Mus musculus: one gene and its partner. The protein of the gene in region 1 purifies or fractionates together with the protein of each later gene. This does not show direct contact. Links are inferred from orthologs where the notes say so. Each region holds a gene or a part of one and is shown on either strand. Other genes may lie near its edges.

Region 1 (7,174 bases):
AGAGATCCACATGTCTCTGCCTCTGTCTCCCAAGTGCTGGCATTAAAGACATAAATGACTACTGCTGGCCTAGTTTTGATATTTTTAAAAAAGATTTATTTTATGTATATGAGTACACTGTAGCTGAACAAATGGTTGTGAGCCTTCATGCAGTTGTTGGGAATTGAATTTTAGGACCTCTGCTCGCTCTGGTTGGCCCTGCTTGATCCAGTCCACTCTGCTCCTTCAGGCTCAAAGATTTATTATTATACATAAGTACACTGTAGCTGTCTTCAGACACACTAGAAGTGGGCATCAGATCTCATTATGGGTGTTTGTGAGCCACCATGTGGTTGCTGGGTTTGAACTTAGGACCTTAAAAGAACAGTCAGTGCTCTTACCCACTGAGCCATCTCACCAACCCTAGTTTTGATATTTTTATTTTTATGTTTTCTGCTTCTTTGGAGGTTGTAATGGCTATTCCTGGTTGTCAGCTTGACTATATCTGGAATGAATTACAATCCAGAATTGGAAGGCTCACCTGTGATCCTGATCTGGAGGCTGGAAGATACAAGTTTCTGACCTGGATCTTGGCATGGAGATCTTGAGGCATAGTGACTATGAGTCCCAGGAGACTAAGACAGGGAGAGCTCCGAGTTCAAGGTCAGCCTGGGAAAAAACAAGTCCCAGATCCAGGCCGGGTGGTACACACCTTTAATCTGGGCCACACCTTCTGATAGAGACCTACAAGGACATTGGAAGAAGGAAGACTCCCTCTTCTTTGCCAGCACAGCTGTTGGAATCTACTGGCCTGTGGGACCGAGCAACTGTTAGATCTTTGGACTTCATTCACAGCTGACTGTAGTTGGAAAGTTGGACTGCAGACTGTAAGTCATCATCACAAATTCCCTTACTGTATAGACACTATCCATAAGTTGAGTGACTCTAGGGAACCCTGACTAATACAGAGATGGTAGCACTATGTAGCCCAAGCTGGCCTGGAACTCACTACGTAGTTGAGGGTGAACTCTTTCCTGCCACCGCCTGAGCCTCCTGTAAGTGTGACGTATGTGGCAGCAGGGATGGAAACAGCCTGGCTGCAGGCTTCATCTTTAGTCTGAAGTTTTCCCTCCTGGTGGCTTCTACCCCACCCCCCACCCCAGGCACCATTCCCATTGTGCTTCTATGGTCTGGAATCTGCGGCCTCTCAGGGATAATTCATGTTATTGAAGTGGTACTGAGTTCCCAAATTTACAAAGTAGCTGCTCTACTGGAAGTCACAGTTTTGGTTCTCAGCACTCTCACATGCCTGGTCACAACTATTTGCAACACCATTTCCAAGGTATCTGAGGCCTCAGTGGGGTCCTGAATGTGACAGACATACACACAGGTAAATATGATAAATCTCTAAATACTTCTAACTATATCTCTGACCCAGAGTTCTCACCAGAGTGATAACTCTTCCCGTCAGAGAATTCAGGGTAATGTCTTGGGGACATGAGAGGCTGTCACACTGGGGGAGCTCAGGTACAGATCGGGTAGAAACAGAATGTTGTCTATTGCCCCTGACTCTTTCTGGATCTGTCCTTGGAGTCTGTCAGGGGAAGGGTGGAGGTGGAGGAGGAGACTTCCTTATCACTGCCATAGTTTAAGGCAATGTCAGAGCAATGAAATGGAGGTGAAACTCCAGAGTCTCCCTGTGTGATGTGGGTGCTGGCCAGCAAACCTGTGTGCTCAGGAGAGCAGCCAGTGCTCTTCACCCCTGACCTGTCCCTCCATCCAGCCTGACTCTGTTTGTCTAGTCTGTGTTTTCCCTGGATTTCTGTCTTCACGTCTGTTTCTCTGATCTTTTTTCTTAATTTATGTGCTTGCATAAGTCAGTTCTCTCCTCCTTTTAAGTCCTGAAGGCTGAACACATGTAGAGCAAGCACTTTTCCCACCTTTCCTGGAGTCTAGGTCTCTCCCTCCCCCAGGACTCTCCTGGCAGTACACCCCGCCCCCTAGTGGCCTCGGAGGGAACCATAGACTCACGGATCTATGGACCTTGTAACCGGCCTGTGCGTAAACTTGTGTGTAGAGGGAGTCAGGCAGGGTGAGCACTCGTCCCTCAATCATACTCCAACCCTTATTTTTTATTCGTGCAGTTAAAAAAGGGCACAGATAAAAATAATTAGATTAACCACCCAAAAACACTGCAGCAGGTGAGTTGAGGCCAGCGGCGACGTCTTACCCAGCCACCTTTTTTGATAACTGTTATTTAAAATTCTGTGTTGTGTGTGTGCGCGCGCGCGCCTACCACGGAGTCCCTAGGTTCAGAGACAGCCTGAGGGAGGCATTTCACTCTAGCCACCTTGTGAACTTACGGGGATCGAACTCATGAAGTCAGATTTGACGTCAATCGCCCGCAACCTCTGAGCCATCTCACCAGCCCAGCTGCTCTTATTTTGCACAGGAAACGCTCCTCTCTATGCCATGGATCTCAGAGGCGCTACATTAAGGCTTCAGGTTCGGGAGTGTCGACTTTGGGCTACTTTTTGACCTTTGACCCCTCCCCCAAGGCCGTTAAGAGCAAGCCTGGGCTGGATCTCTTTAGGGATCCACGAGCCTCTCTCTCCACCCTCCCCCATGCCTCCAGTCGCGGCCGTTCCCCGGAGGACGTTGACGCGCGTGAACTCTAACCGGAGGCCCGAAACTCCGAGGTCACCACAGCCAGCCCAGAGGTTTCGCTGGCCCGTCGCGCTTGCTGACGGGCGTCTGCGACAGCCACTGGCAAATAAAGTCCCGCCCCCACACACCAGGGCCAACCACTGAGGGGCGGGGCTTGAAGCCACAGCCCACGGCCGCTCCCTTACAGTCGCTTGCTTACTCCCATTGACGGGCGTCTCAGACAACCAATGAGAATTTAGATCACGCCTTCTCAGATGGAACCCGAACTGTCCAATGTCAGCTCGGGCGCCCACCTAGATCCAAATAGCCCAATCCTCGTTGGCGATTGAGGCGGGTCCGAAAGGTGGGGCCTAAAGCTACAGCCAACTGCCGCGCACGTCGGCTCCGCGAGGGGGCGTGTCCACCGTTGCGACGTGCGACGACGGCGCGGCGCAGGGCGGTAAACAAGATGGCGGCGGCGTGTCGGTCTAGGAAAGGGGAGGCGGCTCACGGCGTCCGCGAGTGAGGCGCGAGTCGCCGAGGGCGGCGCCGGCGTGGAGTTGTCTCTCGCGGGCAGCATCTTTCTGCCTGGAGTTCGATTCCCCCCTCGCCGCTCCGGCCTCCTGCCTGTCGCGCGGCGGCTAGGCGGCGAGGGGGACGCGCCGCCTGGGGTGGTTTTTTTCCCCCCTCGGTCCCCGGAAGATTTCCTGTCCGGATTTCGTGTCCGCGACTTGCGGGTGTCCCGGTGTCCCGCGTCCGGGTGGAGTCTGCGCCCCGAGAAGTCGTAGAACTAAGGGGCCGCGCGCGGCTTCGGCGCGGGCCGGACATGGACGGCGCGGACCGGCCTCGACGCGGCCGCCTGGGCCCCTGAGCGCGGGGCCCAAGTGGCGAACATGACCTAGCGGCCCGCGCGCCGCGACGGCGGACCGTCGCCTCCGTCGGAAGCAGCGTCCCCGGGGACCCGAATTGGGGGGACGCGAGGGTTGGGGGGGCTCATTGCTTTTTTTTTTTTCATTCTTATTTTCATTTTTTTTCTCCCTGAGCACCTAGAAGAAAAGGGGAAAATCAAAAGTGAAGAATTGGCGCCCAGGAAGCGGACGTGGACCCGGTTGTGGGGACCGGGAGAGTTGTGGAGGTCGTTCCTGTTTTTCCCCGTTCCTTTTTTCCCCTTCTTGGAACATTTGGAAGAAGCGGGTGGGGGGGGGGGAATTCGAACTTGAAAAGAATTGGCGCTCCCGAAGGGGACGAGGACAAAGAGTGGGCCAGGATGGACGTGGCGGACCCCGAGCCGTTGGGCCTTTTCTCCGAGGGCGAGCTGATGTCGGTGGGCATGGACACCTTCATCCACCGCATCGACTCCACCGAGGTAATCTACCAGCCGCGCCGCAAACGCGCCAAGCTCATCGGCAAGTACCTGATGGGGGACCTGCTCGGGGAGGGCTCGTACGGCAAGGTGAAGGAGGTGCTGGACTCCGAGACCTTATGCCGCAGGGCGGTCAAGATCCTCAAGAAGAAAAAGCTGCGCAGGATCCCCAATGGAGAGGCCAACGTCAAGAAGTAGGTGCCAAGGGCCTGGGGCCGACGCGGGCGCTGCCTTGAGCTCCTTGGGCAGCCCTTCCTCCTACTTTCTGGCTCTTCTCTTTCCTCTAACCGTTTTCTCTTCTCATTTCCTTCCTCCTTTTTCATCTCTTTCCTTTTACTGCCTTATCTACCCCATCTATCCCTGAGCGTCACCTCGTGGGGTCTGTATGTTAGGGCAGCCTGCAGGACTGTCCTAGCAGGAGGTCGTGCAGCCAACTGCGCCTCCAGCCCCCCTCTTTGGGCCAGGTCCTGGCGCAAGTCGCGCCTGGCTTCTTTGGCGGGCGTTGCCAGGCGGGTGGCTAGTTTGTTTACGCAGCTAGAGGGAACCGGTGGGGCCAAAAATAATGGTGAAGGGGGTGGGGGGGGTAGCCGGCCAGTGCTTGCGCAGGTCCCTGCGGTGTCGTGCGCGTAGTTGGCGTCGTTGGCCCGTGGGGACTCTTTATCGCCTGCTAGGCTTGGCGGAACTTGGAAAACTTCACCTACCGGCTTCCAAGAAGGGGCCTTATCTTTGGGACCAGCACTGGCCACACTCTGCCTAACTGACCTTGCCTCTGGTCCTGTCCCAGGAAAGGCTGGCAGCTTCTTGTTTTTGCCAGCTGGGCACTGCTTTGAGTGGTACGTACAGGAAAGGAAGGTGGACAGATATCCAGGATCAGATGTGTGGACCCAGGGGTGGAGCAGGGCAGGCTGGTGGCCTAGGCTCCTCTCAGGACCTCCTTGGCCTTTTTTGTAGGAGTGGTCTTAGGTCAGTCTTGCACTGGGGAACCTGGGCACCCAGCATCAGGTGTTCCTTCAGAGGCCTGAGCTTGGAAATTCCTGGCTTGAAATCATTGTCTCAAGGTGGAGGTGCCAGAGGTTGCTCACCTCCAGGTGGTGTCTGCTGGTCTCCAAGGCAAGTGGCTTCCTTTGGCTTCAGGGTAATGGTTCTTGGAAGCCCACCATGTCTGGGAGGCTGCCCAGGCCTGCATCCTGGCTTGGGTCAGCTGCAGTCCTTGTAACACATGGCAAGCCTGTGTGCTCTCTCTGCCTGTGACAGAGGGCCCCAGAGCTCTGTCTGCGACTTCCTAGCCCTCACCTGCTGCTTTAGGCTTCCTGCCATCTCAACACCCAGGTTGGGGTGTGGCTTGCAGAGCCAGGCAGGTTCAGCTGAGAGAGATTGGTCCCTAGATCCTGAAGTAAACCCCCCCCCCCATGAATTAGTGATGCTGGACACAGTCAACACTGGAGGTCATCAGGACTGGGGAGCTCCTACACACTAGGGTGATATAAGGAGCCTGCACGGTTCCTCAAGACAGGAGTTGGTCTGGGCAAGTAGACACATGCCTCTCATTGCAGTGCTGGAGAGACTGAGGAAGGAGGATTGCTTCTGTTTCTAGACCAGCTAGGAGTGCATGGGAAAACCTGGTTTTATAAGGGAAACTGGTTGGTAGGGTGAAGGCCCCAGGACCCACAAGGTGAAAGCAGACTCAGTTCTCACAAGTTTGCTCTGACTTCCATGTGTATGCTGTGGCACATGTATATACACACACAAGATAAAAACCAGGAGGAGAAACTGAGGCAAAAGCTGCAGACTGACACACTGCCCTGCAGTAAGGTGCTTGACTGGCAGGATACAAAGCCAGGTATCTCCATGGGAGTGCTGGTGTTCCCCACTTCCTGAGTGGCTCCTGCAGGGCAAAGCCTAGGGCTGCTGCACCTGCTTGTGTGATCCCCACTCAGCCACAGCCTGGAAGGGGCAGCTTGGCGGGCAACAGCTGGTGCGGGCAGAAAGGCTCCTTTGTCTGCAGGGGCTTAATAGACTGCACTCCTGTTGTCTCTCTCACGGTGAAGTGTCTGGAACCTTCCAGGCAAGCCTCTGGGGTCCTGTCCTCCAGTCTGCACACAGAGCTTTCTCCTTCCAGTACCATACTGTGGATGCATGCCAGGGCGTCAGGTAGTGTAGTGCCTCCGTTCCTGGCAAGGCTGCAGAGACCTGTGCCCTTGGCTCCTGTCATCCCCACTGTGAGAAGTCGCAATAATTTTTTTTAATTTTTATTTTTTTTAACGTACATTGCTGTTTTGCCTGCATGTGCATCTGTGTCAGATCCCCTGGAACAGGACTTAGAGATAGTTATGAGCTGTTATGTTAAATTGAACCCAGGTCCTCTGGAAGACTAGCCAAGTACTTTTGGCTACTGATCCATCTCTGTAGCCTCAAGTAGCATGATCTTAGTACCAGCTGATAGGAGAGTTGAGGAAGTTGCTGGTGACCTGCTGCTAGCTCTATGGCTCTATGGCTTTGAAGCCCCCCACCCCTCAAGTGTACTGTGGTTGTCCTGCTCTGCCTTACCTGTGGGGCTTTGTGTGGTTAAAACCCCATGTAAACCCCCTGGGTGCATGGGCCTTGTTGCCACTTGCTTGTGCATAGATATACTTTGAGATGAGACAGGTTGATAAAGCCAACCCAGAATACGGTGGGGATGAGGCTCTTCCATTTCCATGTTGTCTGTATGGTGTAGTGGAAGGCATGGATCTCTCTCCAGCTGATGCCCTCACCACCAGGAGAATGCCTCTGTATGCTTGCTTTTTGTTGGTGTTTTGTTTTCTTGTATTGTGTTTCCCCCATCTAGCCCTGGGTGTCCTGGAACTCACTTTTAGACCAAGTTGGCCTCGAACTCAGAAATCCGCCTGCCTCTGCCTCCCGGGTGCTGGGATTAAAGGCGTGCACTACCACTGCCTGGTAACATTCTTTTTTTTTTAAGATTTACTTATTTACTTTATGTATATGTGTACACTGTAGCTGTACAGAAAGTTGTGAGCCATCATGTGGTTGCTGGGAATTGAATTTAGGACCTCTGCTTGCTCTGATTGTCCCTGCTTGCTCTGGCCCAAAGTTTTGTTTTGTTTTGTTGTTTTTTGTTTTTGTTTTGTTTTGTTGTTTTTTTCGAGACAGACTTTTTGTGTAGCCCTGGCTGTCCTGGAATTCACT
Region 2 (7,333 bases), on another chromosome or scaffold:
TTTAAAAAATCTTTATATCTTATTTAAAACTATTTATTATTATTGAGTGTGTGTGTGTGTGTGTGTGCAGGGGCACCAGCACTCTTGGAGTTCGGAGGTGATGGATTCCAGAGCTGGCGTTATAGGCAATTGCTTTTCGAGCTTCCTGAAGTGGGTGGTAGGAACTAAACTCAGGTCCTTTTCAAGAGAACCATGTGCTTTTACTGCCAAGCCATCTCTCCATCCCCTAATCTTTATAACTAGAACTTTAAACATAATTGTTTCTAAACAGGAATCTCTATTACACTGAAATCATCAGCATTGGCTGTTACTGTCTTCAACTGTTTAATATGTTTATCTAAAATGTGGGCTTTACCAGTGATGAACATTAAGAAAACAGAGCACACACAAGTTGAGGGAAATCTGTCATAAGAATGTCTACTGCCTTTCCATATAGCATTCAGTACACCAGTGTTATAGGCAAATATGGGGTCTGCTGGGCACTCCCAGAGATTTCTAGGTTCTTAAGTCCCTAAACAAGGATATAGACAGAGACATGTGGATAGGAACAGTAGAAGAGAGAGTTCAGTAAGGCAAAAATGCACTTCTGAGAGATGAAGTGGGGCAGAGCTGGAGAAAGGTCAAAGGCTCAGTGTGCATTAACCACAGACTGTGCATACATTCTGCTGGCCAGGACTCTGCTGTATGTCAACCTTGTGGGGAAGGGGGTTTCCAGGCTCCTTGCTTTTATATGCCAATGTTGACTTCCATACTCCAAGCATAAAACTTCCTGGGGGAAAAAATGGCACAGGGTCAGCAGGCCTCCATATCACAGGAGGAAAGTGAGTCACAGCATAATTGAGTAAGCAATGTGTACACAGTTCCAAGGAGGGAGGAGCCCATAGAGTTACGATATTTCAAATGGTTTCGCTCAACAGTCAGAAGGCTATTAGGTCAGACACACCTGGGCAAGGGCTAGCTGTCAAGGGAACAGAAGACAGGCCAGGATAAAGTACCATTATACTATGAACCTGCAACCCCCCAACCTCTTCCCAACCCCTGAAACGTTAATCAGTCAGTCAATTAGTCTGTAAGGGATAGCTTCTTTATGGGAACTTTTGTTCACATGCGTTTGAGCAGAAGAACAAAAAGGTATGGTGTGTGCTTCAAAGAAAAGACGTTGGGCAGGGAATAGTGAAGGGGGACTTGCTTATCAGGAGACCAGGAAAGGTCGGGCACACCACTGGCCCAGGCTAGAAAGACTTCACTCACCTTGTGTGTGTGTGTGTGTGTGTGTGTGTGTGTGTGTCTGTGTGTGTCTGTGTGTGTCTGTGTGTATGTGTGTCTGTGTGTCTCTGTGTGTGTCTCTGGTGTGTCTGTGTGTGTCTGTGTATGTGTGTATGTGTGCACGCGCACATGAGATGTACACAGGTACACAGGTGATAACACTGTGCTGGTCTGCTGAGCCTGAGGCAGGCAGAGAGAGAAGTGAGAGTTAGGTTTGGAGCTTTTCCAAAAGTTCAAGGCCAGCCTGGGCTACTTAGTAAGACCTTGTCTACCAGTAAGTAAAAGGAGACCCGGGGGCACAGCTCAGTGCTAAAACTATGCACGAGGCCTGTGTTCCAGTCTCCAGTTCTGCCAGAGAAGACAGCAGGGGGCAGGTGTGGTGTCCGGACCATTGCTTGCTGTGTCTGAGCACTGACTAGGGTCTGGCTGGGTGTTTTTACCTCTCATGCCCAGAACTGAAATTCAGGCACCCAGGTTTGCAAAGTAGCAAGGAAACTTTATGCAAAAGCAAAGCCATACTACAGATCAGAAAGAAATATGCTGTCAAGAGTGACCGCTGGCCACATGAGCCAGCATACTCTAGAGCCCCAATTACTGTTTGGGGTTTTTATGAGCTTTGAGAGGAGTCTTATTGCTAAGGAGCACTGCATTCTGTTTTGATTGAAAAATTTTGCCGGACAGTGGTGGCACAAGCCTTTAATCCAAGCACTTGGGAGGCAGAGGCCAGCCTGGTCTACAGGGTGAGTTCCAGGACAGCCAGGGCCATACAGAGAAACCCTGTCTCGAAAAACCAAAACACACACACACACACACACACACACCAAAAACAAAACAAAAACAGAAAAAACAATTTAGTTATGTTACCTCCCTTTTCTATTGTGCATGTCTCAATATGTAAAATTATTGAATTTTATTAAATAATTTTATTATTAAAATGTATTTGATTTTAATCAAAAGCGTTCACAAGCACGCACAGGCAGAAGACAGTAAATAGGAGTTTCTCTCAGCAAATTCACTTAGAAGACATGGTTCACCCTCCTGGGCAGGCACCTAAAACCAATTCAGGCTAGATCAGACCTCCTGGCCTCATAATGCACCTAACTGGATTATTACTGAATAGAATCTGTTCGATGGTCCGCAGAGAGCGAAGAAACTTATCCCATTACTTGGAGAGGGTTTGTCTGCATGCAGTTCCATGCAGGTTGTGAACAGGGGTCCTGGTTTGCTGACAATTGCTAGGTGATTTTTTTTTTTTTTTTTTCAGAAAAAGGTGTGTGTGTGTGTGTGTGTGTGTGTGTGTGTGTGTGTGCGCGTGCGCGTGCGCATAGTAGGTGTAGGTGAGAGTCAGGCTGCTAAGTGAATTGTTAGAAGAGGGGTGTGTGCATAACCCAAACCAAGAAGAGTTTCAGGTTTGGAGTTTCTTGGACTTGTATGTAACACTTTAGCTTAGAAGAAGTACAGTTCAGCGCTCTCGAAACACGTGGAGGTCCAACGGTTTTACTGTTCTCCCACGGCAACTTTGGTTGTGGAAAAATGTAGTCCCGTTATCATTTCCCCGTGCGGATAATCCGAGCCGCAGCCGAACCCTTCCGGATCGCAGGGCTCTGACTCAGAAAGCCGGTTCGTCCTAGCCTGGGGCGGGTCCTCCAGAGCACCGAGACGTTGGGGCAGAGCGCTCGCCGCCCTTGTATTCCGCTACGGCGTCGCTCGGGAAGTGACGACACGCTCGCCCATGCGTACTGAGAGGCAGCTCCTTTACCTCATCGCGGGCGCGACGCCCCGAGGGCCAGCTTGTGCTTTGGTCTGGCAGAGGTGGTGGCGGCGAGAGCGGCCGGGAAGATGCCAGTGGCGGTGATGGCGGACAACGCCTTCAGTTTCAGAAAGCTGTTGGATCAGTGCGAGAACCAGGAACTCGAGGTAGCGCCGCAGGGTGGGGCGGTCGGGTGGGCGCCGTTTCCAGGGTAACGGGCCGGGCCGCGGCCTGCGGGGCGCACACTCCGGGTTCATCAAGAGATGCTGCTTCCATTTGTAACGTTAAGTTAAGTTCGCTAAATAGGCTGGGCGCAGTGGCACAGGACTCCGGTGGGCACACGTCAGGCGGAGGCGAGAGGATTGCCGGTGAATTCGAAGCCAGCTTGAACTATGAAAACCCCAAAAATAAAAAATAAAAATAAAAAAGAAAGAAAAAGGAAAAAAAAAAGGGAGGGCGGGGGCTCACGGACTAAAGGAGACAGCAGCAGCTTGCGGATGAGCCTTTAGCAGACCTTGCTGAATGAATAAAGATTGAAGAGAGACAGGCCTCTATAACTACCTTTTGGTAGTCTTCTGTCTTAAGCTTACTTAAGCTTTTAAGATAACGGCCAGAAAAATAGTGCATTAAGAACCTGTTGGAAGTAGTCCCCCCCCCCTTTTTTTTAATTTGAGACCTGACCTTCCGAGGTAATGTCACTTACATATTTGTGACTATGGAAAGAAACTGATATCCAACTGCAGATAAATGACAGCTCACAACAGATCTAAACTCAGGTTTTAACCTTTGATACTTCCCTAAGCATTTTTCTGCATCTATAGTAGTGCTGGAAAACTTACTTTTTAAGTTTTCATTTTCTCTTTTCTGAAAGTGTATTAGGAAGTGAGGCTTTCCCCTCTTTTTTCGCTCTCTAGGCTCCTGGAGGAATTGCCACACCGCCAGTGTACGGTCAGCTTCTAGCTTTGTACTTGCTCCAGAACGACATGTAAGTAGCACCTTTTACCTAAAACGAAAAGCTTCCTTGAGATGATGCAGGAGTACATGCAGCAGATAGGTGTCTTTTACTGTAATCCTGTTATATCTGTTTCCCTTTTTGTCATAATTAAGAATAAATAAGCTCGATATTTTTCTTGTCGTGTATGTCTTACATACACCTAAAAACATGGTAAGTTCTTGTGAGAAATTAGCATCAAGAACCAATGGAGTTTAAAAAAAAAATCATGTTTTTTTTTTCTTTTTACTTATATTTACTCAGAAACTGGGTGGTGGCGCACACCTTTAATCCTCCCACTTGGGAGCCAGAGGCAGGCAGATCTCTGAGTTTGAGGTCAGTCTGGTCTATAGGTCCAGCTCCAGTACAGCCAGGGCTACACAGAGAAACCCTATCTAAACAAACAAACAAATAAAACCAAAGCAACTGTATATGTACTCAGTAGGAGCAAAAAAGCTGGGGCTGGGAAGGAACACTGGGAGAACCAGGGGAGGTAGACATGTTTGAATTAGTCTTCCTGGGTGGGAGGCAGGAGCTTGAGAGGGCTAGAGAATAGAGGCCTGGTGCAGTTCCAAACCTACTGTGATATTTTTACAGAAACTACACTGAGTTTCTTCATTATACATATAATCGTGTGTCTTACGACTCACTAGGAGAAGGGCTCCAGATTATAACAGCACAGTGTATGCCTGTATTGCGAGGGATACCCAAAGCCTCGAAATGGACACATTGTTTGTACCTGAGTGGTTGTGTGTAAGTCTGTGGTTTGAATGTGTTGTTATGGTTTAGGATCTGAATTGTTAGTTTAAAAAGAACTCCTAAAAAAAATTTTTTTAATTAACCTGGGAAAAGGTTATTTCATGTCCTCCTTTTTTTTTTTTTTTTTTAATTGCTTTTCCTCAACAAATTCATATAAAACTGAGTTGTGCCATGGCCTGTTTTGGTGTTTCGGCCTGTAATTTTATGTATTGACTGAGGTGACTATTTTGTAACTCATCTTTGTGTAAATCAGGAATAATGCAAGATATCTGTGGAAGAGGATACCACCTGCTATAAAGTCTGTAAGTAATCCTGCGGTGTCCCCTGTTGCTTTTAGAATACTGGCATTTACTTAAATGACAGCCTACAAGTCCTCTTTCTTTCCCATATATATCACAGGAACCGTTGTTAAGTGAAGGTTAAAGTTCCAAACCATCTGTTTCTCTAATGGAATGGTTCATGTGCTGATGGTTTCACAAGGCCTGCCATGCTGATGTGAACTGGCCAGTTCGGTACAGAGGGGGCTGAGGGGCTGAGGCATTTCAGCAGACTACTTGATTTGCTGTAATGATAGCTATTTGTAAACTGGCATTGTTTACACAGATATTCACTGCATTAAGATCACTGTTTTAATTAGATGTCTTACTTGGGATGAAGATGAAATAAATGAAGTAACCTGTGAAAAGTGTCTTGCCAGGTAGAAGGAAGTAAGATTTATTTCACTTGCTTCCTTTTCCATTCTGTTTGTAAGACGGGAGCTGCACTCAATAAGAATGAAACAGCTCAGCTGATAAGAGTGGGAGCCCTGCAAGTAGGCTCTAATTGACAGGGCCTTGATAATCAGCTTTCTGCTAGTTTTCTTCCATGGAGAAGTGCTAGCGTCTTAAATTTAAACAGCAGTGCCTACAATAATTGATCCCAAGTCTTCATTCTGAAGTATATTTTACTTTCTCATGCTTTCATTTGTAGTTGCAATAAAAACATTAATTATAGAAATTGTTAATATAACTGCTCACAGCATTTTAGAATCAGGCAGAGCCAACCTCTGGACATTGCAAAGCAGTGTTATCATCTGCAGAGTTCATAGTCTAGAACTGGGTATGCAAGTTACCTAGAAGAAAAGGGTTCCCAGTTTATACCTGTTCTTAGCCCTGTGGCCTGCACGCTGGATACACCTGTCAGAAAAGTAATTTCATCTCCTAAAATGAATGAATAGAGTATATTTTAATGATACAGCTAACAAATTTTGTCATTTCTGATATTTTTAAAGATATGATCATTATTAATTACAGTGAATGCTTTCAAAGACAACAATTTTTATTTCAGGCAAATTCTGAACTTGGGGGAATTTGGTCAGTTGGACAGCGAATCTGGCAAAGAGATTTCCCTGGGATCTATACAACCATCAACGCCCACCAGTGGTCAGAGACTGTGCAGCCAATCATGGAAGCCCTTAGAGGTAGTGTTTCCTTGTGGTTAAGTCATGTTGCGTTCAGGCTGTCCTTGGAGCGTGTACTGATAAACTGGACAGCTCTGATTTGGGACTCCCTTTGAGACTTGAGCTAGATCTAAGCTGATTGTGATTCTTCGTCTCAGTACTGGGCATTCTGGGGAATAGACCAGGAGCAGAGGGTGTTGCTGTGGATTCCAGGTCGCAGTTAGCTCATTGGCAGTATCTTTTATCCTCTTCATTATTACTTTTGTGGTAACAGAAAGTTTGTGACAGAGTCTCGCTGTGTAGTCCATACTGCCCTTTCCTTTTTGGGTTACTGGTGTGTTTCACGTGTGGCCTTGTGAAAGTGTTCTTTGCTGCTAACATGAAACCAGGCAATAATCGAAAGGTCGTGGTATCTGCAGGTCAAGACTTTTTGTCTGTGTATTTGAAAGTAGCAACTAGACTTTGGACTTTGTCAACCTTGGTCTTTGATAACTGTTATGTCCCCTCTATACATCTTGTAAAAGGAACCGTCAAGGAGCCTCGAGGCTCAGTTGTGTAAGGTTAGAGGCTGGCATGGTGTGGCCCTGACACATGATAGCTCTGCCCCTGCCGCCTTCCTTTCTCATGTTGCCATGCTTTGGGTCTTTCTGGGTCACTCGAGTTCTTTTTATTGCTCAGGGGATCCAATCCAGGCAAGCAGCATTGTATCCTCTAGGAGTGGACTCACTGACATTTCTGAGCCACCCAGCATGGGAGCTAGGAAACAGATTCTGGTCCTGTAAGAGCAGAATGCATACACACTCTTTGTGGGCCCACCACACACATCATACAATGAGCTCTTACGTTGTTCTTCCTGTCACCTCGTTTCTGTAGTGAACACTTGCCTTTAGTGGGTATTCCTTAAGTTAGTGGGCTGGTCCTTCTCAGCATGGTAAGGACATGGGTGTGCCAGGCAGCAGAGGGTAAGGATTGCTGGGAGCTGCACCAATCAGCTCTTAGCAGCAGTACCTGGACCAGCATTCAACAGTGTACACAACAAAACAGAGACAGCTGCTGTGAGTAAACATGAGCAGGATTTCAGGGTAGGTGGGGTTGGAAGGGGGAGTATGGAATGAGGCCATGTGAATGT

The links. Proteins that work in one complex are often made in the same cells at the same time.
Region 2: the proteins of Stk11 (region 1) and Cops8 purify together in Homo sapiens (affinity purification with mass spectrometry; 3 studies listed by BioGRID and IntAct, with this or other methods). This does not show direct contact. The link is inferred for Mus musculus from reciprocal best matches to the Homo sapiens genes STK11 and COPS8.

What each region holds. Positions count from the first base shown.
Region 1 is NC_000076.6:80,112,726-80,119,899, forward strand, and holds the start of Stk11 (serine/threonine-protein kinase STK11), read left to right. Parts: upstream 1-3,069; 5' UTR 3,070-3,892; coding exon 3,893-4,182; intron 4,183-4,222; exon of another isoform or gene 4,223-4,862; coding exon of another isoform or gene 4,863-5,098; intron 5,099-7,174. UniProt on the Homo sapiens protein: Tumor suppressor serine/threonine-protein kinase that controls the activity of AMP-activated protein kinase (AMPK) family members, thereby playing a role in various processes such as cell metabolism, cell polarity, apoptosis and DNA damage response.
Region 2 is NC_000067.6:90,600,445-90,607,777, forward strand, and holds the start of Cops8 (COP9 signalosome complex subunit 8), read left to right. Parts: upstream 1-2,980; 5' UTR 2,981-3,105; coding exon 3,106-3,183; intron 3,184-3,930; coding exon 3,931-4,001; intron 4,002-5,019; coding exon 5,020-5,068; intron 5,069-6,092; coding exon 6,093-6,225; intron 6,226-7,333. UniProt on the Homo sapiens protein: Component of the COP9 signalosome complex (CSN), a complex involved in various cellular and developmental processes.